Linked DNA regions of Sus scrofa. The protein of the gene in region 1 purifies or fractionates together with the protein of each later gene. This does not show direct contact. Links are inferred from orthologs where the notes say so. Each region holds a gene or a part of one and is shown in the gene's direction. Other genes may lie near its edges.

Region 1 (3,804 bases):
ATCTTTCATTTGAAAATAATCCCGTGGCTTCTTTATTTCTTTGTTGTCCCATAATCTCCCCTGCTCTCCTCCTCCTCTCCTTATCCCTGAATTGTGTGGTGTATTGGTAACTGGGGGAGGGTGGAGTCGATTTTCCTCTGTGGCCAGCAGAACATAACTTTCTTTTCCCTTGCAGACGTGTTTTGTAGATTGTTTAATAGAGCAGACTCACCCGGAAATCAGAAAGCGCTATGACCAAGATGTAAGTAGAAATTCTGTGGAGGGTTTGGGATGAACCATTCAGAACACAGGGGGGTGTCTCTCCTTCTCCTTCCTTCTAACCTCCCACTCTCATTATAAGTAATGATGCCTATAATATGCTGCTTCATAATTGTAATTTCTATTAATAGCCCTTAAGAAAATAATTTCCATTTTCTCAGGAACATAGAGAATATTAACCTGCAGTATTTTTGGATGATCTGTTCTGCACTTGAGATCCCTCCTGTGTTCTGATATATCCTGACTTTTATAGCCTATTCTTTCCTGTCATAGTATTAATAGCCTACTCTATAAATATAATACAGTTGGACCTTGTTGTTTCCATGATAAATTTAAATGCCTGTGAATGAGGCCCAGTGTGGCTGCAAGTCTCAGTGCAATAACTGTTCAGTCTCCGCCAGATTGACTGTTTTGATGTGCGGGTGTTCCGTGAAGGCTAGAGGTGTCTTCCTTTACCACTGTGCAGAATTCAATGCATTTGATGTGATTTAGCTCTCCAGCCACCTCGGTCCTTAGTGACTTCCCTGACTCCCCCCATAAAACCATCCAGGAGCATTTTCCACCTGGGAGGGCCCTAGTCTCATTGAACTCTCTGTAGCGCACCCTCTTGCCTTCCATCTGTTCTCCTCCTGAGCCAGAGGCCCCCAGGTTAGGAGTGGGTGAGGGGAATGATTGATGGTTTGTGGGTGGCAAGAATCTGAATTCAGGTGGTAACTACATTTTTTTTTTTTTTTCTTTTTTCAGCTGTGTTACACAGACATCCTCTTCACAGAGCAAGAGGTAAGTGTGCCTTTGGGAATCTGATTGTTGCCACACCAGACCCAGCAGTGGTGGTTTTGTAGGGAAAGTTTTTATGATAACGTTTTGGCCCATACAGCACCCGTCCCCCATAACTCCCATCCCTCAACCTCTTTATCTCCCTGCTTCGTCCCATGATCTCTAACTTGAAAGAGAGCTGGGTAGGCAAACTGTAGGATAAAAGGAGAGACCCTCCTGTCCTTACCTGGATTTAATTTAGCCTAATGGGGCAGATGCCAAGAGGTGGTGTGTACATTTATCTGTAAGTTATACAGAAGCCAAACATGATTTTTAAAATGACATCATCCTTAAAATCTATAGGATGACTCCATCCATATGTCGCTCTTCCTAGGGGCAGCTTCCCTTAGAGAAGAGGTTCATCTCTCTTTGTTCTTCTCTTTCTCTGTAAAGGAGTGCACGTATATCTCTGTCTTTTCCATTCCATCTGGTTAGTCTTTCCATCTAGAGGGGATCTTTATCCCTCCCCTCTAACACCTTCTGTTTCCTCTTCTCCTTTTTTTTTTTTTTTTTTTTTTGTGTGTGTGTGTGTGTGTGTGTGTCTTTTTAGGGCTGCTTCCATGGCATATAGAGGGTCCCAGGCTAGGGGTTGAATTGGAACTGTAGCCACTGGCCTACACCACAGCCACAGCAACACAGGATCCGAGCTGCGTCTGCGACCTACACCAGAGCTCACGGCAGCCCTAGAGCCTTAACCCCCTGAGTAAGACCAGGGATCAAACCTGTGTCCTCACAGATGCTAGTCAGATTTGTTTCTGCTGAGCCACAATGGGAACTCCCCTCCTTTATTTCTGTCTCTCTTAAATGACCACATGGAAAGCACAAATGTATAAGTTTGACTAACCAAAGGAACTCTAAACGGTGCTGGCATATGATAAGCAATCAACAAATATTAGCTATTTAAAAAATATATGTGTGTATATATTTGACTGGAGTTGGGCTTTTTTTTGTTGGGTTTTAGCTGTGCCTGTGGCATGTAGAAGTTCCCAGGCCAGGGATTGAACCCACACCACAGCAGTGACATAAGCCATAGCAGTGACAATGCCAGATCCTTTAACCCACTGTGACGGGCTGGGGAATTGAACTTGCCCCTCCACTGCTGCAATCAGATTCTTAAGCCACTGTACCACAGCAGCAACTCCTACTATAACTTTCGCTATATTTAAAAAAAAAAAAGGAGTTCCTGTTGCGGCGCAGTGGTTAACAAATCCGACTAGGAACCATGAGATTGCAGGTTCGATCCCTGCCCTTGTGCAGTGGGGTAATGATCCGGCATTGCCGTGAGTTGTGGTGTAGGTCGCAGACGTGGCTCGGATCCTGCATTGCTGTGGCTCTGGCATAGGCTGGCGGCTACAGCTCCGATTCAACCCCTACCTAGCCTGGGAACCTCCATATGCCGAGGGAGCAGCCCAAGAAATGGCAAAAAGACCAAAAAAAAAAACCCAAAAAACAAAAAAAAACCTAGGAATTCCCTCATGGCCTAGCAGGTTAAGGATCAGTGCTATTACAGCTCTGGCTTGGGTTTGATCTCTTGTGTGGTCTGGGAACTTCCACATGCCACAGGCACAGCCAAAAAAAAAGGAACCTAAAATAACCCAGATAGTTTCTTTTGATTTATATGATGTTTAATTATTTTTATTTATAGTGTACGAGGAAGATAAGATTTTAGGACTGTGGATTCTCCTATTATGGTTTACCACTGCTTTGCTTGCTTGTTCTTTTATTTTTACTTTTTTGTATTTGAACCAACTCTCCCCCATCCTGGGAAATGCTGTTAAGACCAAGATAGTTTGTCTTCAAGGTCATTCTGATTAGAGGACTAGGTTACAAAATCACACACACTACAAGGAGAGACAGTGGTGTAACTTACTAGCAACTGGGAAGCCCCCAAAGCAGAGTAAACCCCTCCTGCATAGGATGAGCTCTTGATCATCCTGTCTCTCTCTCTGTGACTTTCAGAGGGGTGTTGGCATCAAAAGTACTCCTGTGACAGTGGTCTTGCCAGATACCAAAGGAAAATCCTATCTCTTCAATATCATGGACACTCCAGGTAGGATGTTCCTGACCTTTTACTGTCAAAACCTTGACTTATTTTTTTCTTGTGCTCCTACTATTTCTAGAACAGAAAAGAGCATTATGTCTTTCTTTTTACATTCTGTTCATTAAGATGATAATTTTCATTTTTAACGGTTTCCTTTGCTTCTAACCAGTTAATTAGCAAGCACTGTGCTCCAGGTCTTCTGTCTTATTCCTCTCTTGACTCTGCTCTAGACTATTTAAATTTGGGGGAATCTTATTCATATATTAGTTTCAGCCTGTCAGTCACTGTGCTAGACATTGGGGTGACAAAGATGAGTCAGACATGGTCCCAGCCTCAGGCCATCTCAGTCTTTTGATGGAGACCACGGGTACTTACCAGTGGCTGGGGATGTACAGGTTGCCATGGAGCAGCATATCTTGTCCCTTGGTTGCCTTTTTCTCTTGATTCATTTTTATTTTTTGCTTTTTAGGGCCACACCCATGGCATATGGAGGTTCCCAGGCTAGGGGGCCACAGCAGTGCAGGATCTGAGCCTCATCTGTGACCTACACCACAACTCACCGCAATGCCAGATCCCCAACCCACTGAGTGAGGCCAGGGGTCAAACCCGCATCCTCATGGGTACAAGCAGGTTCTTTCTGCTGCGCCACAATGGGAATTCTGGAAAATCTGGGTTTTGGCAGATTGGCC
Region 2 (3,804 bases), on another chromosome or scaffold:
AGCTGAGGGGCCTCAGACAAATGAGTCAGCCTCTCCAAGCCTCTGTCTCCTCAGCTAATAGCTCTATGAGAATTAGCACAGTGTGATAGTCACAAATGGCTTCTAGTCAGTTCTAGGTAGTGTTGAGTCCTGTTTTTATATCTTTGGCCTTTTGCTATTGTGCTTTGGGGAGATATGATGTATTGGGCTTGTCTGAAGTTTATCTAAAACTGATACCTGGTTTGTTTGTTTGTTTGTTTGTTTTAACATAGTACTTGGTCTTTGGGAATATCACTTAATGTACATTTTATAATTCTTGTCAAAGGCTGACTTAACTTGCATTTGTTTTGATTTCTAGGGTGTTTGCTTTGATATCCCTACTGCAGCAGTAACAGAAGTACAGGTATTATTTTCTCTTGGTTTTGAAGTTAACCTATCTAAATTGTAATTTAAAGTTAAAATGTTTATTCTTTAAAATACAGAATAATAGGAAAACAACTGCTCTAGTCCCTCTACTAATGACAATTAAGAATTACATTTTAGTATTTTTTTCTCTTAGCCTTTTTTAGTCTAGTATTTCTCTTAGTCAGTGTTCCTATTTTCCTTTTGACAGCATTTCAAATATTATCCAGCTTTTTTCTCCATATGTGCTACACAGGGTTTATACAGATATATTTAATTGCTGTGTCTTTTATTCAGTACTGCTGTGAGACTGCGTGTGGTGGTAGCTCTATATGTTTTATTACCTGACAGCTGGGGATACCCTGTAGTGATTGAAATGAAAAAATGTTGAGGGTATTTCTTACAGTGAAACTTATTTTTGACCAGTGACCTTTAAGCACTTAGGTTATCTGGTTTTTCTTTAGAAAAAGGGTAAAAATCTTGTCTTTCTCATGCCTTTTAAAACTAAATTCGATAAAAATCGAAGCAGGTAAAAACAAAACCATCTCTCAACAGGAAAAATGGCATGATTCCCGACGCTGGCAGCTCTCTGTGGCCACCGAGCAACCAGAGCTGGAAGGACCACGGGAAGGTTATCGAAGCTTCAGGGGACAGCGGGAAGGCGGTCGAGGTTTCAGGGGACAGCAGAAAGGAAACAGAAGCTTCAGGGGACAGCGGGAAGGAAACAGAAACTTCAGGGGACAGCGATCAGGAGGTGGCAGCAGAAGCAACAGATTCCAAAACAAAGGCCAGAAGCGGAGTTTTAGCAAAGCGTTTGGACAGTAATTTGAAGTAGAGGATTTACACGGCAAAAACAGAACATGTTCACCAACGTGGAACTGAACGTTGTTTTTCATACAAAGTCAAAAGCACATTGTCTATCCTTCCTGACCGCTTACCCAGTCCCCATCTCTTCAAGAGAGAGACTAGCTTCATCTAAATTATTTCCTCTGATGACTGTCATTTATAACTTTATTGCTACTTCTGTATCGAATTTTCCTTTTGAAAAGGTATATGGATTCATTGCCTATCCTAGTGCATTGTCTATAGGTTACAAGGTAAAATCAAGCATGTATCTGCTGATACTTTTTAAGTTGATCTGTCTGTACTTAGAAGTGTCTCAGTAGTGTCCTTCCTTGAATGAATACCATGGGGAATCGACAGTTTCTAGAGAAGCACGCTGAGCACTCAAGGCTTTGTTCTGTAATTGGGATTCCTCAGCCACTTGCTTAATGATTACTCCTGTGGTCCTATAATGTGTCTTCTGAGAATTAATACTGAGCAATGTTTTGAAGCAAACTTAGCTGGGATGTGTCACAGTGTATGCTCTAGATTTGGAGGATGGTGATACATTTGATAGGAGATATTACATAGATTAGCCATTGTTATGTGCATTTTGGTGCATTTTTAGCTTCTCAATATAAGATGATTCATGCTTCAGTGAATTCCATGTTTTACTGGAAAGCAAGTCTAAGGAATTCCAGGTATATAAGGTGGCCCCATAACTTTCTTCATAAGCAAGGAGGTGGGTTAAATGGTGCTTGATAATGTACTCACCTCTGGTTGGAAGATTAACATTTACCAAGAAGGAGCTAAGGGAGTAGGGGGCAGAAACTTGCAGAAGAATCAAAAAAAGCCACTGAAAATAGTTTCTACATGTGAGAAGAAGGCAAAGAGAGGAACAGGTGAAGATGCATGATAAAGCATCCCTTTAATGGTGAAAACTTACCGAGTCCTTACTGTTTCTAGAGTTTAATTTCTAAGAGGCAAGCTGGAGTTTTTAGGTACAATGAGGCCTAGTTCTTATAGCTGCAGGATAGGGTCTTTTTCTAATAGACTGCTACTCTATTGAAAGGTTGTAGCCATTTAGGGTCTTCGTTTTAACAGACAGTTAATTTGTTGCTTGGAGGGAACTGAGGAAGGGAATATAGCCCCTGGCCCAGTATTGCTCTGAGGTCTCAAATGATTTTTCTGGGAAACCTTGCAAGGGGTGCAGGAGCTTCAGTGTAGCTTTGTCTTCTTGACTTAATTCCTAGAAATTCTGTATTGGGAATCTCAGGAAACAGACTATGATAGGAGAAGTTCAAACACATGGCCTGTCTTGTGTTCATTTAATTATTTGGAACAATTGAAATCTTTCTAGGCCCTGATTTCTCTCACTGGCTCTTTATTTCCAACTACTTAGCAGTCACCTCTGCAGTAAGGGGCTCGGGTAGCCAGCTCAGCTCCTTAATTCTTGAGGCAGCATCCTTTTTCTATTTGGATTTCAGCTCTGAACTTGAATCCTGACTAGATGTTTCTGTTCTCACATTCTCTTGGCTTTTATTCCTTGATCCACATGTCAGTTTTATCACTTGACCTCATGGTTTCCCATCAAGCCAGAGGGAGTAAGGGGAGGTATTTGATGACATACAAGTCATGTGCCTTGTGGATCATGTTTTATTAGCTTCTGGTTTTGCTGAAATAACAACCAAAACGTTTCGGTTTGGATAGGAATGGGTACTTTATTAAGTTGATTAAAAGGACACTGTACCTTTAGGAAAATACAGTTAAAACCTTGATGTGGATTAGCTTAAAGAAAAATCATCAGGCAAAAATCAAGATTGGGGGTTGAGAGGAGAGATGGATGGGAATTTAACTTTACAAAACTCAATTTTAAGGAAAACATGACTATTTCAATACATGAAGCTATGGAGTTCCCACTGTGGCACAACAGGATCAAGTGCTGGGATGCCGGTTCTGTCCCCGGTCAGGCCTGGTGGGTTAAAGGATCCAGCTGTGCTGCAGCTGTGGCATAGCTCGGAGCTGATCCCTGGGCCAGGAACTCCATATGCTGCAGGGCGGCCAAATAAATAAATAAATGAAGCTAAAGTTTTTCCTGAATCCCTGAATTCAAACCATATTTATAAATGTATACTGCAGCTACCATGTGCTTAAATAGGCTTGTTGAGCTAACCTGGGAAATGTTATTGTTTTTACTGTTTTCTACAGAGAAAATATTTTACAATTTAGGTATCAATTCAATGAACTTTTAAAATACAATCAATTTTTATGTTGGAACTATCTGTGCAGCAGTTTCTTTACAGTTGTACATAAGATGTTTTTACTGTAAAATTGAGTTAATGTATGAAAATAAGGCTTTACGCCATAATAAAGATATTAGTACTTACTATTTATGGTTTTGGTAACTTTTTTTTTAACTAAAATTGAAGCTTGAAATTCTTTTTTTTTTTTTTTTTTTTTTGTATTTTTAGGGCTGCATTTGCAGCATATGGAAGTTCCCAGGCTAGGGGCTGAATCAGAGCTATAGCCACTGGCCTTTGCCACAGCCAGGGCAGCATGGGATCCCAGCCACATCTGGCGTCTACACCACAGCTGATGGCA
Region 3 (3,804 bases), on another chromosome or scaffold:
GCCCGGGAATGTCCATATTCCATGGGGGAAGCTGAAAAAGGAAAAAAAAAATTATTATTTAACATTGCTCTTCATTAAGTTAAAAGGTTCTTTTTATCTGCTGAGTTAACTGTTTCTTGGTTTAATTCCTTTCTTCATTTTTGACAAATTTACTCCTTTTTGATTCTGTACTGGGAGAATTTTTTTTAACCTGTTGGTTCCTGCTTTTTTTTTGGCTGCACCAATGGCATGTGGGAATTCCCAGGCTAGGGGATGAATGCTCACCATAGCTGTGCCCCCTCAAGCCACAGCAGTGACAGCACTGGATCCTTAACCTGGTGACCGGAGAACACCTGAAATACTGTTTTTATATTCTGTATTTCATTAATTTTAACCTCTTATTTTTTTTTTTTGTTTCCTTTTTTCTGTTTGCTTTTCTTTTTTTATGGTGTATTAAGGTGGAAAGTTACTAATGTGAGGTCTTATTTTTCAATGTAGGCATTTATAGCTATATATTTCTCTCTTAACCACTGCTTTAGCTGCATCCTGTGTGGTTTTTTTTGTTTTGTTTTTTGCCTTTTTGTCTTTTAGGGCTGCATCAGGCTAGGGGTTGAATTGGAGCTGCAGCCGCAGGCTTACGTCACAGCCACAGCAACAGCAACGAGGGATCTGAGCTGCGTTTGCAACATACACCACAGCTCATGGCAACACCAGATCCTTAACCCACCGAGCAGGGCCAGGGATGGAACCTGCATCCTCATGGATGCTAGTCGGGTTCGCCAACCACTGAGCCACGATGGGAACTCTGTCCTGTGTGTTTTTATATGTTGTATTTCCATTTTCATTCACCTTGAATTCTTTCCTAAGTTCCCTTTTGATTTCCTTTTTAATCTACTGGTTATTTAGGAGTTTGTTATTAATTTTCACATATTTGTGAGTTTCTCAAATTTCTTTCTGTTGCTGATTCTAATTTCATTTCACTGTGGTCAGAGAACATACTTTGTATCATTTTTATACTTTATTTATTTTTTATTTTTTTGCTTTTTAGGGCTGCACCCACGGCATATGGAAGTTCCAGGCTAGGGGGTCTAATTGGAACTGTAGCCACAGGCCTATGCCACAGCCACTGCAACTCCAGACCCATGCCTGTCTGTGACCTACACTATAGCTTATGGCAATGCTGGATTCTTAACCCACTGAGCGAGGCCAGGGATTGAACCTGTGTCCTCATGGATGCTAGTCAGATTCATTTCCGTTGAGCTGTGATGGGAACTCCCCCCTTTTTAAAAAAAAAAAAAAAAAACTTTCATGGTTTTTAAATTCTGAGCTTTTAACAAGTCCTCTTTTTAAAAAAAAATTTTTTTGGATTATAGGTTACTTACAATGTTGCATTAGTTTCAGGCATATAGCAAAGGGAATCAGTTATACACATACCCATTTTTTTTATCCCATCTAAGTTATTAGAGAACATTGAGTAGATTTCCCTGTGCTATACAGTAGGTCCTTGTTAATAACAAATCCTCTTTCTCACTTGACGTTTGGTTTTCCTTATAGAAAAGAATACCCTTGTGACTGGTTAGAGTTCAGCAGTATGGCCATATGCTGGCTGAAACCAGCAGCTGAGGTATTTTAGTTGGCCTTAGCAGACTGCTATTCCCAAGCCTTGTAGGTGGTTAATGGGATCAGGTGCCTTCTGAATTCTAAGTGTAAGGCAAAATTATGTTGAAAAACCCAGCCGCAACCAAAACAAAGCTCATGTCCCTGCTCTCCTGCTCCAGCACTAATTGGATAGTTTTCTTTTCTCACTCTAGGAATATAAGACTTACAAGGAGAACTTTCTGAAGCGCTTCCAGCTCACCAAGCTGCCTCCATATCTCATCTTTTGTATTAAGAGATTCACTAAGAACAATTTCTTTGTGGAGAAGAATCCAACTATTGTCAACTTTCCTATTACGTGAGTTTTCCCTTCCTAACTCTTAGGGGGAGTAAGCTTGAATTTATTTTCATATTTTTGTACCACTCTTAATTTTGGACTGTCTTTAAGTTGGAGATTGCAGTGAACCTACCTACACTACATAAGTTAAGAAGATAATGTAAGAAGTCACTTCTTAGCAGCTAGCTGGCGTGTTGGCTATCTAGAACTCATGTGGATTTCCTAGGACTCATATCTAAATTATCCTTTAACAATGACTATTTATTAGTCCAAGAGGGACACTCTAGGAATAAATAGCTATCACTAACACATAGAAAGCTAAGCAGTGTAGTTAGAACAAAATAATCTGTTTATTCCTTCATTGTTTACATTGAAAACTTTTTGTATTTTTGGACAGGTAATATATTCATCGTGTAGTCTAAAATTCAAAGAAGGAGGAGTTCCCTTTGTGGCTCAGTGGTTAGCGAATCTGACTAGGTACCATGAGGTTGCAAGTTTAATCCCTGGCCTTGCTCAGTGGGTTAAGGATCTGGCATTGCCATGAGCTGTAGTGTGGGTCGCAGACGCGGCTCAGATCCCATGTTGCTGTGGCTCTGGTGTAGGCCGGAGTTTATGGCTGATTGGACCCCTAACCCGGGAATCTCCATGTGCTGCAGGTGTGGCCCTAGAAAAGAAAAAAAGACCAAAAAAATAAATAAATAAATAAAAAATAAAAAAATAAAATTCAAAGGAGGAGTTCCCACCTTGGCACAGTGGGTTGAGAATCCAACTGTAGCAGCTCTGATTGCTGAGGAGACGTGGGTTTGATTCCTGCTCCGGTGCAGTGGGTTAAAGGATTAGCCACAGCTGCTGCTCGGATTCAATCCCTGGCCTAACAACTTCCATATGCCATGGGTGTGGCCATAAAAAAAAATTCACAAGGAGATACATATCTAGAAGTGACCACTGGATGTGACTGCTGTGAGCATTTATTGTCAGTTCTTCCAGAGATGACCTTACTGTGTTTCATGTTATGAGTGGTAGCACATCAGATAGTAATAGATATAGGATATAATCTCTCTTATTCTACCTTGTATTTAAATTGCCATAAATATCTGTAGGCTGCAGAAGGTTATGTTTTTCCTGAAACTAATGTAGTTAGCATTCTCTTAATATTTATGTTAACTGTCAGTCTGTTTCCCTGTTTACCATCATCATAGTCATAACAGTAAGCATTAGTAATAGCTCTTTATTTTATAATAACCAATGTACATGTATATTTCAACAGACAATTCAACAAATAAAGCAAAAAGACTCCTTATTCCATGTACATCAGGAATGTTCCTCTATCTAAAAAAACAAATGAGTGTTCATGTATTAAAGATAAATTTGATAGGAGTTCCACGGTGGTCTGGTGGTCAGGATTATTAGGTGCTTTCACCACTGTGGCCCGGGTCAATCCCTGGTCTAGGAACCGAGATCCCACATCAAGCCACGGTATACCATAACCAAATAAATAAATAAATAAAATTGTTAAAAAAATAAATAAATTTGACCTTGAAAAGTCCCAGTTGAGGGAACCTAGTCAATAGTTTCTTCTTCTTTCAAAATTTCTTCCAAAATTTTGGAAGCTGTAGGGGAGCCAAAGTGGATTCCATAAAGAAGAGAAAGCTGGTAGGAAAGAATAAAGCTGCTCTTAAAGCAGAAAAGAGGGCAGGTAAGCTCTCGGATCTTGCTGTTTCTTCAGTGCCTGGTCTCATTTCCTGGTCTGAAACCCTTGAATAAATTCCCCTTTGTGCTTAAGCTCCCTAGGGTGGATTTCTGCTACTTGAAACCATTCTGCCTACTTGACTAAAAGAAAAAAATAAAGAAGCAAAGTCCCAGAAAATAAAAGAAAAAAAAGTCTGCATGAT
Region 4 (4,560 bases), on another chromosome or scaffold:
AGACGCCTAGCCTGGGAACCTCCCATATGCCGCGGGAGCGGCCCAAGAAATGGCAAAAAGACAAAAAAAAAAAAAAAAGAAAAAAAAAGAAATTTACATCTACAAAGAATGGTAAAAGATACAGGAAAACTATTTCAGAAAACCTTTTAAAAAGAAAATAAGCTATTGGATGGTGAAAAGAAACTAAAAGGACTGGAAAAACTAGATTCTACAATGGAATAGAAAGTAAGGAAGCACCATACAAATTTGCTTTTAACTACTTCCCATTGCTCTATATATTAGTTTCCCTTTTCCAATTAGATTGTGGGTTTCTTCCCCCAAAGGAAGTATTTCTTTTGCATATGCTTCGGAGCCACTCTTAGCTCTGGCCACATAGTAGGTTCTCAAATATTTGTTGATAGATTGGCTCAAAAAGTTGCAGTAGTGCTCTACACGTGGAAGAGACGATCTAGTAATTAGCTCATTTAAAATAAAGGTTCCTCTTTCTTCAGGAATATTTTTGAATATCTGCCTGATTGCCAACCAAAAAGGCCTCATCTTGTCTTGCCCTGGATTTATGCCTAAAATGCAGTCACAATGGATAGGACGACAAAAGATGAAGCCGTTTATTCAAATGGGATAGGCCATTTTTGAGAAACAGTGATTTCACAGCAAACGTTGGAGTAGTAAATTGGGTGGATAAGCTTCCTGGCGCTGTAGATCTTAGTCTCTACTTGAGATCGTGTATAAGCACTGAACTCAAAAAATTCTTTTTAGGTTTTTCATGCTTGCAACCAAGAGTATACACTGGAAAAAAAATGTTAATAGGAGGGTAGACACACACTCAGGGTCTTAAACGTAATAAAATTAGGATTAGAAGTAAAGAAAACTGTAGTACTTAAGTCTATTCTAAACTCAAAAACTGGACGTCTGGAGTACCACGTGGTGTGTAGAACGAACTTAGATAAAAGAACTGAATGGAAAAAGCCAAGAGGTCAGCGCAGGAGCCTGTTCGCCAGGCTGTTGGTCAGCAAACTGAGCCACTCGCGGATTCTCGGCCCTGAAGACCGCCCCGAGGCCCCTGCCGCCGCGGTTCCCCGGCCTTTTACGCCTCCCTCTCCAGCCGGAAGGGGCGCGGACGGCAAGGGCGGTGGAGAAGCCCCGGCAGAGGAAGCGGCTCCAGGGGTTAGTCCTTAACCTGCGAGACCGCAAGACTGAGGACCGGTGGGGTACTGCCGGGTAAGGGCTCCCATCTCGGTCCAACTTTGCAGTTAAGCTACGACCGGTTCAGGGAAGATTCTGGACGCCTCCCCGCCGCCCCACCCCCCAGCTGTGCGGAGAGTAATTCATACAAAAGGAGGACTCTCCTCAGCCAGGGAAATCCCAGGGACCGTCGATAAACTCCCACTAAACCTAGAACCGAGTGAGCGCTCGACCCCGCCTCCCACCCACCAGCAGTCGTCATCCTCCTGGTTGAGAGGAGCATGCGCCGGGCGCCGTGTGCTCGTCAGTGGGCTGAACGCACATCGCCCACGGTCCCCGAAGATGGGGGGAGGGGACGGCGGTGGAACCGGTGCCGGGTGGAGGTGGCGCGGGGTAAACTGGGAAAGTGGTGTCGTGTGCTGGCTCCGCCCTTTTCCCCGAGGGTGGGGGAGGACCATATATAAGCGCCGTGGTCCCCGCGAACGTTCTTTTTCGCAACGGGTTTGCCGCCAGGACACAGGTGAGTACGGGTGTGGCCTCCGTCCGCATGGCCTCCGCCGGTGGCCACGGCCTTAGCGTGCCTCCCGGCCCCCCGCGCGTAGAGGGCTCTGCGCCCTGGTCCTGATTCCGAGCTGCGGGCGGGGGGAGGTGGAGAACTCGAGGCCCTCCGCTCTCGCGGTTCCCTACCGCGTGCCCGGTGGCGGCCTGCTGGGGCGCCGTGGCCGCCGCGTGCGATCCGCGCCTTCGCGCCCGCCCCGTCTGTCTTCGCGCTCGAGTTCGGCCGGCAGCCGCGTGTTACTGCCAGGGCGGCCCAGCCGAGGCCGCCCAAGGTGGCCTCCGTGCCCGGCGGTCCCGGGGCAGACGGCCGCGGCGGGGCGGGGCGGGCGGTCGGAGACCCAGCGCCCCGCCCGGGCGGGCTGCGAGCGCGGAAAGATGGCCGCTCCCGGTCTCAAGATGGAGGACGCGGACGGCGGGCGGCGCACAAAGGGCCGGGCGGTGCTGCCCGCGCCGCTTCCCGGGACTCGCGGCCCGGGTGGGGGAGGGGCTGGGCGCCGGGGCGGCCCCGTTCGCTGGGTGTAGGCCGGGCAGGGCCCGCAGGGCGCCGGTGCTAATGCTCCCTGGAGTTTGCCCTTGGCTGTTGGGGTTGTGCCTGAGTCTCCGGTCGTCGGGACAGTAGTTTAAAGAAGGTTTTTGTCGTCTTAGGTGTCGTGAAAGCCATCGCTAAAAGCTAAGCAAAAATGGGAAAGGAGAAGACTCACATCAACATCGTCGTCATCGGACACGTCGATTCGGGCAAGTCCACCACTACTGGCCATCTGATCTACAAATGCGGTGGGATCGACAAAAGAACCATCGAAAAGTTCGAAAAAGAGGCTGCGGAGGTCGGTAAAGTAACGTCAGCAAATTAAGTGGTAGTTCTCTAAAACTAGTGTATATCTGACTTGAACTAGTACATTGCAAAGTTTGCTAAGTGGCTTAACTCCAGCCAAGTTTAGGAGATGGAAGTGAAACCTAGCATTGCTTCCAAGTGGGACTAAGGAGTTTAGTTACCGAGTAACCCTTCTTAATCCCTGCAGATGGGAAAGGGCTCCTTCAAGTATGCCTGGGTCTTGGACAAACTAAAGGCTGAACGTGAGCGTGGTATTACCATTGACATCTCCCTGTGGAAATTCGAGACCAGCAAGTACTACGTGACCATCATTGATGCTCCAGGACACAGAGACTTTATTAAGAACATGATTACAGGCACTTCCCAGGTTTGTAGGATTAAGAACTCCTGAGAGTAACATTTTGAGTTATCTATAAATTGGCGAAACCATGGATCTGTCCTTTTTGGAGAGGTTTTCACAGGGTGTGGCCTTTTTTTCTTTTTTAAAGGCTGACTGTGCTGTCCTGATTGTTGCTGCTGGTGTTGGTGAATTCGAAGCAGGTATTTCCAAGAACGGGCAGACCCGTGAGCATGCTCTTCTGGCCTACACCCTGGGTGTGAAACAGCTCATTGTTGGCGTTAACAAAATGGATTCCACTGAGCCACCCTACAGCCAGAAGAGATATGAAGAGATTGTAAAGGAAGTCAGCACCTACATTAAGAAAATTGGCTACAACCCTGATACAGTAGCATTTGTGCCAATTTCTGGCTGGAATGGTGACAACATGCTGGAGCCAAGTGCTAATGTAAGTGGTTTTGATGAGTTCTCAAAACTTAAGTCTGGGAAGGGATAAGTTTGAAAACACTAATTGATGATCTTGTGTTTTAGATGCCTTGGTTCAAGGGATGGAAAGTCACCCGTAAAGATGGCAATGCCAGTGGAACCACACTGCTTGAAGCTCTGGATTGCATTCTACCACCAACTCGTCCAACTGACAAGCCCTTGCGCCTGCCCCTCCAGGACGTCTACAAAATTGGTGGTAAGTTGAACGTTACACTCAGCTGGTATGGGTTGCAGTGATGTTTGTCTTCATACGAGATAATTATGCTGTGCTGTGAATACTTCAGGTATTGGTACAGTCCCTGTGGGCCGAGTGGAGACCGGTGTTCTCAAACCTGGCATGGTGGTCACCTTTGCTCCAGTCAATGTTACAACTGAAGTCAAGTCTGTTGAAATGCACCATGAAGCTTTGAGTGAAGCCCTTCCTGGGGACAACGTGGGCTTTAATGTCAAAAACGTGTCTGTCAAAGACGTTCGTCGTGGCAATGTGGCTGGTGACAGCAAAAATGACCCACCTATGGAAGCAGCTGGCTTTACAGCTCAGGTAACACTTCAGTGACAGGTTTTTAAACTGCCAGAACCTTAACTGTCTAAATGTCTAAAATGTGCTAAATGCAAATTTTCTCCCTAAGGTGATTATCCTGAACCATCCTGGCCAGATCAGTGCTGGTTACGCACCTGTGCTGGATTGCCACACAGCTCACATTGCCTGCAAGTTTGCTGAACTGAAGGAGAAGATTGATCGTCGTTCTGGGAAAAAGCTGGAAGATGGCCCCAAGTTCTTGAAATCTGGTGATGCTGCCATTGTCGATATGGTTCCTGGCAAGCCCATGTGTGTTGAGAGCTTCTCTGACTATCCTCCTCTGGGTAAGAGTGCCTTTTTAGTGTAATTAAGCTTCAGTAAAAATGGAAAAGCAGTTATGTAGAGAAAGTGTTTCTCATGGTGATTTAATTTTTGTTTTAATAGGCCGATTTGCTGTTCGTGACATGAGACAGACAGTTGCTGTGGGTGTCATCAAAGCTGTGGACAAGAAGGCAGCTGGAGCTGGCAAGGTCACCAAGTCTGCTCAGAAAGCTCAGAAGGCTAAATGAATATTATCCCCAATACCTGCCACCCCAGTCTTAATCAGTGGTGGAAGAACGGTCTCAGAACTGTTTGTCTCAATTG
Region 5 (3,323 bases), on another chromosome or scaffold:
AGTTGTCTTTTTACCGCTAGGTGGCGGGGCCTCCCCGCTTGGCCAAGTGCTGTTGAATTTCCCATTCTAGTAGCATTTAGGCATCACTGGGTGAGTGCGTGGTGCCGGGGCCAGGCTGTGGCCACTCCCAGCCTCCTTTCATAAGATGGTTGGAGGCCATCTCCTCTCTCTGATGATCTGCCTCTTTGCTTTCCCTTTAGGAATTGGTGTTTTCCGCCTCCCCAGACGCCACTATCAGGATTTGGTCGGTTCCGAACGCCTCCTGTGTACAGGTTGTTCGGGCCCATGAGAGCGCTGTGACAGGCCTCAGCCTCCACGCCACTGGGGACTATCTCCTGAGCTCCTCTGATGACCAGGTGTGGTCCCAGGCAGGGCCCTGAAGCGGTCTCCTGTCCCCAACATCCTGGGAGGAGGGAACACCCTACCCGCCCCTGTGGTTCCCCAGAGCCCCGAGGAGAAGGTTCTCTGCTGAGGGGGCCGGCCTTGCCAGGGTCCCTGCCTTCCTGAGGGCCCGCCAGCCCTGGGGACCTCACGTCTCACCAGCTCCGTTGTCTCTCTTTTCAGTACTGGGCCTTCTCTGACATCCAGACAGGACGCGTGCTCACCAAGGTGACCGACGAGACCTCTGGCTGCTGTGAGTTGCCCCCAAGGCACTGGGGTCTTCCTTTGCCACGTGTCATTTATTTATACGTTTCATGAAGTTGTTTGCTCATTTGTTCTAAACATACACTTAACCGCAGAGCCGGCGGAGTGGTGGGCGTGGTGCTGGCACGGTGAGCAGCGGGAGGAGCAAGGAGCCTGCCTTTGCTGCCTTTGCTGCGCCTGGCCTTCCCGGTGGGCTCTGACCCTGCGTCCCCCTCCCCTCTCCACAGCTCTCACGTGTGCGCAGTTCCACCCGGATGGACTCATTTTCGGAACAGGCACCATGGACTCTCAGATCAAGATCTGGGACTTGAAGGTAGGACTGGCAGCCTCCGTCTGTGGCCCAGGGTTGGAGCTCTCGTGACTGTGGGTTGTGATGACGTGCTTATGGCACCTGGCCCTGGGGGTGTCCCGAGAGTGGCGAGGCAGTGGCTGTGTGTGTGACACGGTAGGTGTGGTCTGGGGGCCCTGGGCTGGGCCGTCCACCCCTGCTCGTCCTCCGGGTTGTCCTTCCCTGAGGGACAGAAGAGGGCATCCCAGACGTGGAGTTTGGTGAGGCTTATCTTCTCCCTTGTGACCAGCGGGTGACGTTTTATTCCCTGCCCTCCAACTGATAGGAGCGAACCAACGTGGCCAACTTCCCTGGCCACTCGGGCCCCATCACCAGCATTGCCTTCTCCGAGAATGGCTACTACCTGGCCACGGCGGCCGACGACTCCTCTGTCAAGCTCTGGGATCTGCGCAAACTGAAGAACTTCAAGACGTTGCAGCTGGATAACAACTTTGAGGTGCTCCTGCCCCCCTTCCCTCCCCTTCCCAGCGCCAGCTCTCTTGGTTGCCGCTCCTCATTTGTCATCATTGATTCACTGAATTACTCTAAGCTGCCTCTGTTTATCCCAGTTACCCATAGTTCTGCCCCCCTCATGTGACCTCTCCTGATTCTGACAGGTGAAGTCCCTCATCTTTGACCAGAGTGGAACTTACCTGGCCCTGGGGGGCACAGATGTCCAGATCTACATCTGCAAACAGTGGACGGAGATTCTTCACTTTACAGGTAGAGGCCAGCCCTGGGATCCTGAGGTCTCTGAGTGCCCTGGCCCAGAGGAGAACGGGGGACGCTGCACTGGTTAGGAATGTCTAGGGTAGCATGAACTTGCCAAGGTAGCTCTTAATCACTGCCTGGGCAGTAGAGGTTAGGGGCCAGGAAAACCTCGCAGAGTCAGACTGCTTGGCTCTAAATGCTAGCTCCTGTGACATTGGGCTGGTTACTTAACCTCTGGAGGATGGTAAGAGTACGTAATAGTCCTCCACAGGCTCAACCAGCTGGGGATCAGAAATAGTTGGAAAATGGAGTTCCCATCATGGCGCAGTGGAAACGAATCCGACTAGGAACCATGAGGTTGCGGGTTCAATCCCTGGCCTCACTCAGTGGGTTTCAGATCTGGCGTTGCCATGAGCTATGGTGTAGGTCAAAGACTTGGCTTGGATCTAGTGTTGCTGTGGCTGTGGCATAGGCTGGCAGCTATAGCTCCGATTAGACCCCTCGCCTGGGAACCTCCATATACTGCGGGTGTAGCCCTAAAAAGACAACAACAACAAAAAAAGTTGGAAAAAAGAACCCAGAAAGTAAAACTTGAATTGGATGACGGTGACTGGCTGACACAGAGCACTGGGTGGGCCGGGGCGTGTCGTCAGGGGTCGGTGCTGGGAAAAGCCGCCTCACTGTTGTCTCTTGTCTCTTTTCGCAGAGCATAGCGGCGTGACCACAGGGGTGGCCTTCGGGCACCACGCCAAGTTCATTGCTTCAACAGGCATGGACAGGAGCCTCAAGTTCTACAGCCTGTAGGCCCCGTTCCTCCTGACCGGAGCTGGGCCTCGTCTCAGTAGTGGGGTAGAGTTAGGGGTGGGGGCGGGGGGTGGGGGAGAAGAGACTACTGGGGGGAGGGGGGCGTCTGGGACGGGACATTCACATCATTTCACTCTGGTCTGGGTGGTGGCCTGAGAGCCAGGGCGGCGTGGACCACCGTTATCTGTGCAGCCTCCGGGCCCAGTGGGTCGGCCGTGGGAGGCAGGACTGTCACCTCTGAGGGCTCAGGGTCGGCGCCCAGGGCCTCTCCCCTCGTGGCGTCCATGGAGTTGGAGTTGGTGGCCGTTCCACAGCCACCTCATTTCCCTTCCTGCGCATCGGGGAGAGGCTGAGCCAAGGGAACTGTGAAGGGCTGGGCGGAGGGCTCAGGCAGGGTTTTGTAAGCAGTGATCTAGTTTCATTAAAAAAAGAAAACAATAAACAGAGTCCACTTCCTGTGTGTGTCTATAGTGGAGAGGAACCCAAGTCGGACCTGGCCACCAGAATGCCCATCGTTTCTAAGTTTTAAATTGCATAACAGAAATAAAAAGGAAAGCAAGAAATCTACAAGCCACCTGCCAAAATGACTCTTCCCTCTCTATGCAGGCTTAGACCTGGTGTTTTTTTGTTTTTTTTTTTTTTGTCTTTTTTGTTGTTGTTGTTGCTATTTCTTGGGCCGCTCCCGCGGCATATGGAGGTTCTCAGGCTAGGGGTTGAATCGGAGCTGTAGCCACCGGCCTACACCAGAGCCACAGCAATGCAGGACCCGAGCTGCGTCTGCAACCTACACCACAGCTCACCGCAACGCCAGATCGTTAACCCACTGAGCGAGGGC
Region 6 (4,559 bases), on another chromosome or scaffold:
TGAGATTACAGGAGTTCCCTCGTGGCCTAGTGGTTAAGGATCCGGTATTGTCACTGCTGTGCTGTGAGTTCAATCCCTGACCCAGGAACTTCTACATGCCTCGGGTACAACAACAACAACAAAAAACAAGTGAGATCACAGAAGTAATGGAGTGTAGGGCATTTTTCACTAAGTAATATGGAAAGCCATGGAGTTCCTGGGCCAACTGCAGCCTAACACCAGGTCCTTAACCCACTGTGCCAGGCCAGGGATCAAACTTGCATCCCAACACTGCAGAGATGCTGTGATCCTGTTGGGCCACAGTGGGAACTTCATGAGTTTAGCTTTATATAAGTTCTTTACTGAGGGAGACACAGGTTTAAGAAGCACTTGAATCGTGTTCTGCTGGACTACAAAATTGGGGAGGCTTACAAGCTTACAGGTAGTTAAATAAGTTGTTTATTAAAAATTATAATTGGAGGAATTATAATTGGGGTTAAGAACTAGTATCCACGAGGATGTGGGTTTGATCCCACATCAAACTGGCCTTGCTCAGTGGGTTAAGGATCCAGTGTTGCAGCAAGCTGCAGTGTAGAACACAGGTGCGGCTCAGATCCAGTGTGGCTGTGGCTGTGGCACAGACCAGCAGGTGCAGCTCCGATTCAACCTCTAGACCAGCAACTTCTGTATTCTGCAAGTTAGGCCGTAAAAAGGAAGAAAAAAAAAGAAAAGAATTATAATTGGAGCTGGCAAGAAGTAAAGGTGCTTGTTAGGTAAGGATTAGTTGAGGACCAAAATGGTTGATTAGGAATTCCTGTCCTGGCTCAGCGAGTAAAGAACCCCACTAGTATCCATGAGAACACAGGTTCCATCCCTGGCCTTGCCCAGTGGATTAAGGAGCCAGTGTTGCCCTGAGCTGTGGTGTAGGTCACAGTCCTAGCTCTGATTCTGCGTGGCTGTGGCATAGGCCAGAAGCTGCAGCTCTGATTCAACCCCTAACCCGAATTTATATATGCTGCAGGTGGGGCCTAAAAAGTACTAGACTGCCAGCAATTATTTGTTTTGCGAATGAATGGAAGAAAGAAACAAAGGTGTGTGAGAGGGTACTATCTTCAGACTCCTCCCACACTAGTCGGTTTTCTGGGTCTCTTGGCACCACTGTTAAGGACAAAGGCTAAGGAGAGAGTGGTTAATACTAACGATCACTACTCTGAAGTTTACTTCCTACCAGAAAGTCCAGGTTTAGCCCAAACGCAGAAGCTCTGCTTTTAGTTCTAGCCATAGCCTTAGCGCACTTATTCTCCACGGGAATACTACAAGCAGCTCAATTTATGCTTCAGGTAACATTAATTTTGCGCTAATGTAGTTAACAGGTTTAGCACGGGGAACCGAAGGAGCCAAGTAGCTTGCCGGGGGAAATCGTTACGGCTCCGCCACGCATGCGCTCCGCCGCGGAAAAGTAGCTACTACGGCTGCGCGAACCGGGGCCCCGCCCTCTTTCGTCACAAGTTGTGGGACCGTGGCGAGGCAGCAGCCGTGGCGGTAGCGACGGCAGGCCGTAGGGCGGTCGGAGGGTTTCCGGTTCCGGTGTAACGTTCGGGCTCCGTCTCAGGGGCTGAAGTTTGTGAGGTGAGTAGTGGCCCCGGGCCCAGAGAGGGTATGCTCGGGTCCTAGCGGCTGGGGCTAAGTTTCAGTCCAAAGGGAGGACCGAGGCGGGAGGTTCAACAGAAAGGAGGCTGAGGAAAGAACCAGGTTCTGTGCGAGAACGGGTTGGAATGAGATTGTTGAGAGGAAAAGGGCGGGGGCGGGAAAGGGACAGGGTGAGGAGACTACCTCTGAGATGAGTTTGGGTAGAACAAGGTGGGGAAAGGGTCCGGTCAGAGAGATGGAGAGAGCAAAAAGCAAAGGATAGGGTTTAAGGGAGGAAATTCGACTTGTAGCAAAGAAGAGCACGAAGTAAGGAATTCCTTCAGAAGATTAGATTCTGCTACCTGCTCATTGAGATCATTCTGCCTTCCTCTCTCTCCCTCCACACCGTAACCACCCCCACCCCGCCCCACGCAGTTATTGTTGAACGTCTGATTAATGACAAAGCTAGTTACTATTTGGAAGTTTGATTTTTGCCCACTGACTGTTTAGTCTGCACGTTATATTATGGAGGGAATGGGTTGAAATTGAGTACATAAGTATAGTGCTTGGGCATACGGTTCGTTTATAGAGTGGTACCCCGTTTATTGCTTTGGATTTTCAAACGGCTTAAACTTTCTAATCTATGATTCAGTTCTAGTGGAATATAAGCCCTCTAAGGTGAGGATTCTTGTCTCTTTTGTTCACTGTTGTATGTATCCTTGGCAGTATCCCACTACATTAACACTTAGTTGTTGTGCAGTAAATACTTACTGAATGAATTAAGTGCCAGATAGCTATGGCAGTTGTCCTCCTTTTGTAAGATGAATGAACTGAGGCTCAGAGGAATTGCTTGACAGAAGGTTAGTAAATGGAAGAGCTCTTTCTTCACTCCCTATGTTGTCTGAATACCCTTCTTTTGAGCATTGAACAGTTAGCATGTTGAAATTGATAAGCTATAGTGCTGTCTCATGATGGGTAAATAGAGCCATCATAGATTTATTATATAACATGTCAGTAAGACACAAAATCTTTTACTCCTAGTTTCATGACTTCACTAGCTTCATATGGTTATACCAAAATTAAATACACTGTTTAGCAACAGGTCTTATAGAGGATAAACCTACCAAGAATGCAGAAGTTAATTAGACTGTACCGGAGTTCTTGTCGTGGCTCAGTGGTTAACGAATCCGACTAGGAACCATGAGGTTGTGGGTTCGATCCCTGGCCTTGCTCAGTGGGTTGAGGATCCGGCGTTGCCGTGAGCTGTGGTGTAGGTCGCAGACTCGGCTCGGATCCCACGTTGCTGTGGCTCTAGCGTAGGCCGGCGGGTACAGCTCCGATTAGATCCCTAGCCTGGGAACCTCCATATGCCGTGGGAGCGGCCCAAGGGGGGCAAAAAAAGTTTTAAGATATCTTTTCTCCTAAAAGGTACAGTGTAATTTTTTTTTCTTCTTTCTGGATATCTTTTCTCCTAAAAGGTACAGTGTAATTTTTTTTTCTTCTTTCTGCCATTTCTTGGGCTGCATATGGAGGTTCCCAGGCTAGGGGTCTAATCGGAGCTGTACCCGCCGGCCTACGCCAGAGCCACAGCAACGTCGGATCCTCAACCCACTGAGCATGGCCAGGGATCGAACCCACAACCTCATGGTTCCTAGTCGGATTCGTTAACCACTATCCTATGACAGGAACTCCATCTTAAAACATCTTGAAGCGTTCTTTTGTAGCTCAGTGGGTTAAGAATCCAGTGTTGTCACTGCAGCAGCTTGAGATGCTTCTGTGTCGTCCACGTTCCATCCCTGGCCCCAGAACGTACAGTAGCAAAAAAAAAAAAAAAAAAGGAAGAAGAAGAATCGTATTAATTTGCATTTAAAGATTGTTCTAGAGAGTCTTTTATGATGGTGTTTTCTCTGTTAAGCTAAACAGGAGAAAAATAGAAGTGGAAAGAGAGTACATCCAAAATGAAAGTAATCTTTTCTGAACTGAGAGAATATTTATGACAGAGGCCCTGTAGAACATAAGAGAAAAATATCTGAGTACAGAATTCCCACTAGGATGAATGTGACTACAGAGAATTGTGAGAGCGAGTTCCTATTGTGGTTCAGTGGTAACAAACCTGACTAGTCACCATGAGGATTCGGGTTTGATCCTTGGTCCCCTCAGTGGGTTAAAGGATCCGGCTTTGCTGTGAGCTGTGATATAGCTCATGGACAAGGCTCAGATCCTCTGTGGCTGTGGCTGTGGCCAGCAGCCACAGCTCGTTTGGACCCCTAGCCTGAGAACTTCTGAAGATGTAGCCCTAAAAAGACAAAAAAAAAAAAAAAAAAAAAAAAATTGACAAAAACAGCCTTAAGGATTATGAGCTTTAGTATAGGATGACTGATGTGGATAAAGCCTCCCTTATTTGCATGCCTTAAAGAAGGCCTGGGTTGGAGTTCACAATGTGGTGCAATGGGTTAAGGATCTGGCCATGCCACAGCTTTGGCTCGGCTTCGTTCCCTGGCCCGGGAACTTCCATATGCCATGGGTGCTGCCAAAAAAAAAAAAAAAAAGAAGAACGGCTGGGTTGAGGAATACCTGCCTGGAAATAAGAATAGAAAAGCTGACCTCTAAGTGGACTTTATATAAATATTTGCAATCCTTGAATATGACAGAATCAAAAAAGAAGCTGGAACTCATTTCTTAGACTAGGTTAAATTCAGGGTTTGTTTATTCCACAGATTTCATTGATCCACTGATACTTTCTGAGTTAGGTTTAAAAATCAAACAGAATGGGAATTCCTGTTGTGGCTCAGTAGGTTAAGGACCTGACATCTCTGTGAGGATGTGCGTTTGACCACTGGCCTCACTCAGTGGGTTAAGGATCCCATGGTGCCACAAGCTGCAGCACAGGTCACAGATGCATCGCAGATCCATGATGCCATGGCTATGGCCTAGGCCTGTGGCTGCAGCTC
Region 7 (3,804 bases), about 29 Mb from region 1:
TTGTGGCTCAGTGGTTAATGAACCTGACCAGGGTCCATGAGGATGCGAGTTCCATCCCTGGCCTTGATCAGTGGGTTAAGGATCTGGCGTTGCCGTGAGCTGTGGGGTAGGTTACAGACACGGCTTGGATCCTGCGTTGCTGTGGCTGTGGCATTGGCTGGTGGCTGTAGCTCCAGTTGGACCCTTGGCCTGGGAACTTCCATAATGCTGCAGGTGCAGCCCTGAAAGACAAAGAAAAGAAAAGGAAAAAAAAAGACAGTAATGGCCTTGCTAGAGCTTACAGCCTAGTGAAGTAACAGTTATTAGACAAATGGTTACAATAAAGTGTGATGAATATTTTGTTGCTATTATTTATAAAATGGTACAATGTTGCCTGTAACTTCTAAGTGACCAGAACCCTCAGTTTCAGGGACAGTTAACTTCTGAGGTGTCTGTACTCTTGTTTTTCTGTATTCCCAAGCTGAATGAGTACACGTACAAATGTCTTAGCAAATGAGAACCTAAAAGCTGTGTTTAGGGGAACAGCTGTTGATTTAGAGGGACCGAATGCAGTATTGTGGGACTGTGAGGTTTAAGAGCAACAGTGGCATAGTTGGAGGTGGGGCCGTGGTTCCTGATCCTGGACGACCTGTGCGCTGCGTTTGGAGTTGGATTGTAAGGCAGATTTTTCTGTGGAATGTGGCACTGTGATACCTAGTGGCTTCTCTGCATGGCACAGGTAGCAGAACACCTTGTCTTTTATTTATTTATTTATTTTTGGTCTTTTTTGTCCTTGTAGGGCCATACCTGCAGCATGTGGAGGTTCCCAGGCTAGGGGTTGAATCGGAGCTGTAGCTGCTGGCCTATATACCACAGCCACAGCAGTGTGGGATCCAAGCCACGTCTGCAACCTACACCACAGCTCATGGTAATGCCGGATCCTTAACCCACTGAATGAGGCCAGGGATAGAACCCTTGTCCTCATGGGTACCAGTCGGGTTCGTAACCACTGCGCCACAAGGGGAACTCCCACCTTGTCATTTCTAAATATTTCATTCTGTTGTTGCAGTGCTCTCAAGTACATGCCCCATGCAGTCCTCAAACTCCTGGAGAACATGCCGATGCCTTGGGAGCAGATTCGGGATGTGCCTGTGCTATACCACATCACCGGAGCCATTTCCTTTGTCAATGAGATTCCCTGGGTCATTGAGCCTGTCTACATCTCCCAGTGGGGGTAAGAAGGCCTGGAATGTGGTGGTGGTGGTGGTGGTTGGGGGACAGTGGGTAGAAGCCTTGATGTGACATTGTTGACTTTTCCAGGTCAATGTGGATTATGATGCGTCGAGAAAAAAGAGACAGGAGGCATTTCAAGAGGATGCGTTTCCCCCCTTTTGATGATGAGGAGCCGCCTTTGGACTATGCTGACAACATCCTAGATGTCGAGCCACTGGAAGCCATTCAGCTAGAGCTGGATCCTGAGGAGGATGCCCCGGTGTTAGACTGGTTCTATGACCACCAGCCGTTGAGGGACAGCCGAAAGTGAGTGATGGGTGGAGTTACTGCTCCCGTGAGAGTGCTGGAACTCCAGAAGGGGTCTTGGGAGAACAGTAGGTAGTATGGCGTGGTTTGCTGGTATACCTACCTGAGGTGGGCCTCTTTTTTTCCCTAGGTATGTGAATGGTTCCACTTACCAGCGCTGGCAGTTCACACTGCCCATGATGTCCACTCTCTACCGCCTGGCCAATCAGCTTCTGACAGACTTGGTAGATGACAACTACTTCTATCTATTTGATCTGAAGGCCTTTTTTACCTCCAAGGCACTCAATATGGCCATTCCTGGAGGCCCCAAGTTTGAGCCTCTTGTCCGAGACATCAACCTACAGTAAGTTGGAGAGAGGAGGGATTTTAGGCACTTTGGGTTGAATGAATAAAATCTGATGCTTTTTTTTTTTTGTCTTTTTAGGGCCGCACCTGCAGCATATGGAGGTTCCCAGGCTAGGGGTCAAATCAGAGCTGCAGCTGCCGGCCTACACCACAGCCACAGCAATGCCAGATCCAAGCCGTGTCTGTGACCCTATACCACAGCTCACGGCAACGCCGGATCCTTAACCCAGTAAGCAAGGCCAGGGATCGAACCCGCAACCTCACGGTTCCTAGTTGGATTCGTTTCTACTGCGCCACCACGGGAACTCCTGAAATCTAATCTTGATCCTAAGATTCCTTTGTAGTTTCCAGACTCCCCAGCTCGTCTGCTCATCCTTGATTTTGTACCCTAGGGATGAAGACTGGAATGAATTCAATGATATTAACAAGATCATCATCCGGCAGCCTATCCGCACTGAGTACAAGATTGCCTTTCCTTACTTGTACAACAACCTTCCACACCACGTCCACCTCACCTGGTGAGAGCACTAGTCCCAGCTGGGGGAAAGGCGACGCTGGCATTTAGGTTGGGCCAGGGCAGGAGAACTTGACTGATGACTTTTCTTTCATTTTAGGTACCACACTCCTAATGTTGTGTTCATCAAAACTGAGGATCCTGACTTGCCAGCTTTCTACTTTGATCCTTTGATCAACCCAATATCCCACAGACACTCTGTCAAGGTGAGAGTAAAGCATTTGACCTCAGTCTTCTAAGAGAAATTTCTTTCTTTCTTTTTCTTTTTTGGCTGCCCCTTGGCATATGGAGTTCTCAGGCCAGGGATCAGATCTGAGCCGCAGTCACAATCTAAGCTGCTGCTGCAGTAACTGCAGATCCTTAACCTGTACTGGGTTGGGGATCCACCCTGCGTCCCTGCACTCCCAAATTGCCACTGATCCTGCTGCGCCATAGTGAGAGATGAAGAGAGAAGTTTCTTGACTGGATAGAAGAATTACTAGATAAAATTCATCTATGAGGGAGACATATTTTCCTTTCTGAAGTATTCCCCTCACGCTATAAGCTAATTTGGGAGTTGGGCAATTGGCCCAAACTAAGTTATTGATATCATCTTGGTTTCTGAGATTATCCATCGGGGCTTTATCCGAACCCTTCTTTGTCTTTCCATATCATCTTATTCTGGTCTTTTTCTAGTGTGTTCTTTTTTTTTTCCCCAATCCCTTGAGCTGTAATTCACTACCACACAGTGGCCCCTTTAAAGTGTATAATTTGATGGCTTTTAGTTTTTTCACAGGTTTGTAACCATCTCCACAGTTAATTTTAGAACATTTTCATTTCCTCAAAGAGAAACCCTGTACCCATCAGTAGTTGCTCTTTTTCACTTGACCCTTCCTTATTTAGGCAACTATAAATTTACTTTCTGTCTCTATATATTTATCTTTTCTGGATGTTTCGTGTAAGTACAATCACATAGTGTGTGGTCTTTTGTGATTGGCTTTTTACACTTAGAATACTGTTTTTTTTTTTTTTTTTGTCTTTTGTCTTTTTGTCTTTTTTTGTTGTTGTTGTTGTTGTTGTTGTTGCTATTTCTTAGGCCGCTCCCGCGGCATATGGAGGTTCCCAGGCTAGGGGTCGAATCGGAGCTGTAGCCACCGGCCTACGCCAGAGCCACAGCAACGCGGGATCCGAGCCGCGTCTGCAACCTACACCACAGCTCACGGCAATGCCGGATCCTTTAACCCACTGAGCAAGGGCAGGGACCGAACCCGCAACCTCATGGTTCCTAGTCGGATTCGTTAACCACTGCGCCTCGACGGGAACTCCTTAGAATACTGTTTTTGATGTTGATCTATGTTCCATTACGTTCTTAGCATGAACAGATTTCCTTCCCCAAGCCCAGTGTTTGGAGTTCGAAGGGAAGGTGATTGCAGTGTTTACCTCTTCTG

The links.
Region 2: the proteins of EFTUD2 (region 1) and DDX21 purify together in Homo sapiens (affinity purification with mass spectrometry; 3 studies listed by BioGRID and IntAct, with this or other methods). This does not show direct contact. The link is inferred for Sus scrofa from reciprocal best matches to the Homo sapiens genes EFTUD2 and DDX21.
Region 3: the proteins of EFTUD2 (region 1) and USP39 purify together in Homo sapiens (affinity purification with mass spectrometry; 4 studies listed by BioGRID and IntAct, with this or other methods). This does not show direct contact. The link is inferred for Sus scrofa from reciprocal best matches to the Homo sapiens genes EFTUD2 and USP39.
Region 4: the proteins of EFTUD2 (region 1) and EEF1A1 fractionate together in Homo sapiens (co-fractionation; 4 studies listed by BioGRID, with this or other methods). This does not show direct contact. The link is inferred for Sus scrofa from reciprocal best matches to the Homo sapiens genes EFTUD2 and EEF1A1.
Region 5: the proteins of EFTUD2 (region 1) and PRPF19 purify together in Homo sapiens (affinity purification with mass spectrometry; 3 studies listed by BioGRID and IntAct, with this or other methods). This does not show direct contact. The link is inferred for Sus scrofa from reciprocal best matches to the Homo sapiens genes EFTUD2 and PRPF19.
Region 6: the proteins of EFTUD2 (region 1) and PRPF3 purify together in Homo sapiens (affinity purification with mass spectrometry; 3 studies listed by BioGRID and IntAct, with this or other methods). This does not show direct contact. The link is inferred for Sus scrofa from reciprocal best matches to the Homo sapiens genes EFTUD2 and PRPF3.
Region 7: the proteins of EFTUD2 (region 1) and PRPF8 purify together in Homo sapiens (affinity purification with mass spectrometry; 9 studies listed by BioGRID and IntAct, with this or other methods). This does not show direct contact. The link is inferred for Sus scrofa from reciprocal best matches to the Homo sapiens genes EFTUD2 and PRPF8.

What each region holds. Positions count from the first base shown.
Region 1 is NC_010454.4:18,487,680-18,491,483, forward strand, and holds part of EFTUD2 (116 kDa U5 small nuclear ribonucleoprotein component), read left to right. Parts: intron 1-175; coding exon 176-241; intron 242-1,002; coding exon 1,003-1,038; intron 1,039-3,033; coding exon 3,034-3,124; intron 3,125-3,804. UniProt on the Homo sapiens protein: Required for pre-mRNA splicing as component of the spliceosome, including pre-catalytic, catalytic and post-catalytic spliceosomal complexes. Component of the U5 snRNP and the U4/U6-U5 tri-snRNP complex, a building block of the spliceosome.
Region 2 is NC_010456.5:72,060,187-72,063,990, forward strand, and holds the end of DDX21 (nucleolar RNA helicase 2), read left to right. Parts: intron 1-337; coding exon 338-382; intron 383-936; coding exon 937-1,206; 3' UTR 1,207-3,592; downstream 3,593-3,804.
Region 3 is NC_010445.4:59,129,031-59,132,834, reverse strand, and holds part of USP39 (U4/U6.U5 tri-snRNP-associated protein 2), read left to right. Parts: intron 1-1,790; coding exon 1,791-1,933; intron 1,934-3,804.
Region 4 is NC_010443.5:92,420,282-92,424,841, forward strand, and holds the start of EEF1A1 (elongation factor 1-alpha 1), read left to right. Parts: upstream 1-1,669; 5' UTR 1,670-1,702; intron 1,703-2,385; 5' UTR 2,386-2,420; coding exon 2,421-2,564; intron 2,565-2,759; coding exon 2,760-2,939; intron 2,940-3,060; coding exon 3,061-3,357; intron 3,358-3,440; coding exon 3,441-3,591; intron 3,592-3,679; coding exon 3,680-3,936; intron 3,937-4,024; coding exon 4,025-4,259; intron 4,260-4,359; coding exon 4,360-4,484; 3' UTR 4,485-4,560. UniProt on the Homo sapiens protein: Translation elongation factor that catalyzes the GTP-dependent binding of aminoacyl-tRNA (aa-tRNA) to the A-site of ribosomes during the elongation phase of protein synthesis.
Region 5 is NC_010444.4:10,857,784-10,861,106, forward strand, and holds the end of PRPF19 (pre-mRNA-processing factor 19), read left to right. Parts: intron 1-200; coding exon 201-356; intron 357-564; coding exon 565-634; intron 635-872; coding exon 873-958; intron 959-1,259; coding exon 1,260-1,430; intron 1,431-1,590; coding exon 1,591-1,696; intron 1,697-2,390; coding exon 2,391-2,488; 3' UTR 2,489-2,532; downstream 2,533-3,323. UniProt on the Homo sapiens protein: Ubiquitin-protein ligase which is a core component of several complexes mainly involved pre-mRNA splicing and DNA repair. Required for pre-mRNA splicing as component of the spliceosome.
Region 6 is NC_010446.5:98,768,654-98,773,212, reverse strand, and holds the start of PRPF3 (U4/U6 small nuclear ribonucleoprotein Prp3), read left to right. Parts: upstream 1-1,488; 5' UTR 1,489-1,608; intron 1,609-4,559. UniProt on the Homo sapiens protein: Plays a role in pre-mRNA splicing as component of the U4/U6-U5 tri-snRNP complex that is involved in spliceosome assembly, and as component of the precatalytic spliceosome (spliceosome B complex).
Region 7 is NC_010454.4:47,888,750-47,892,553, reverse strand, and holds part of PRPF8 (pre-mRNA-processing-splicing factor 8), read left to right. Parts: intron 1-1,048; coding exon 1,049-1,213; intron 1,214-1,299; coding exon 1,300-1,518; intron 1,519-1,648; coding exon 1,649-1,861; intron 1,862-2,255; coding exon 2,256-2,381; intron 2,382-2,477; coding exon 2,478-2,583; intron 2,584-3,804. UniProt on the Homo sapiens protein: Plays a role in pre-mRNA splicing as core component of precatalytic, catalytic and postcatalytic spliceosomal complexes, both of the predominant U2-type spliceosome and the minor U12-type spliceosome.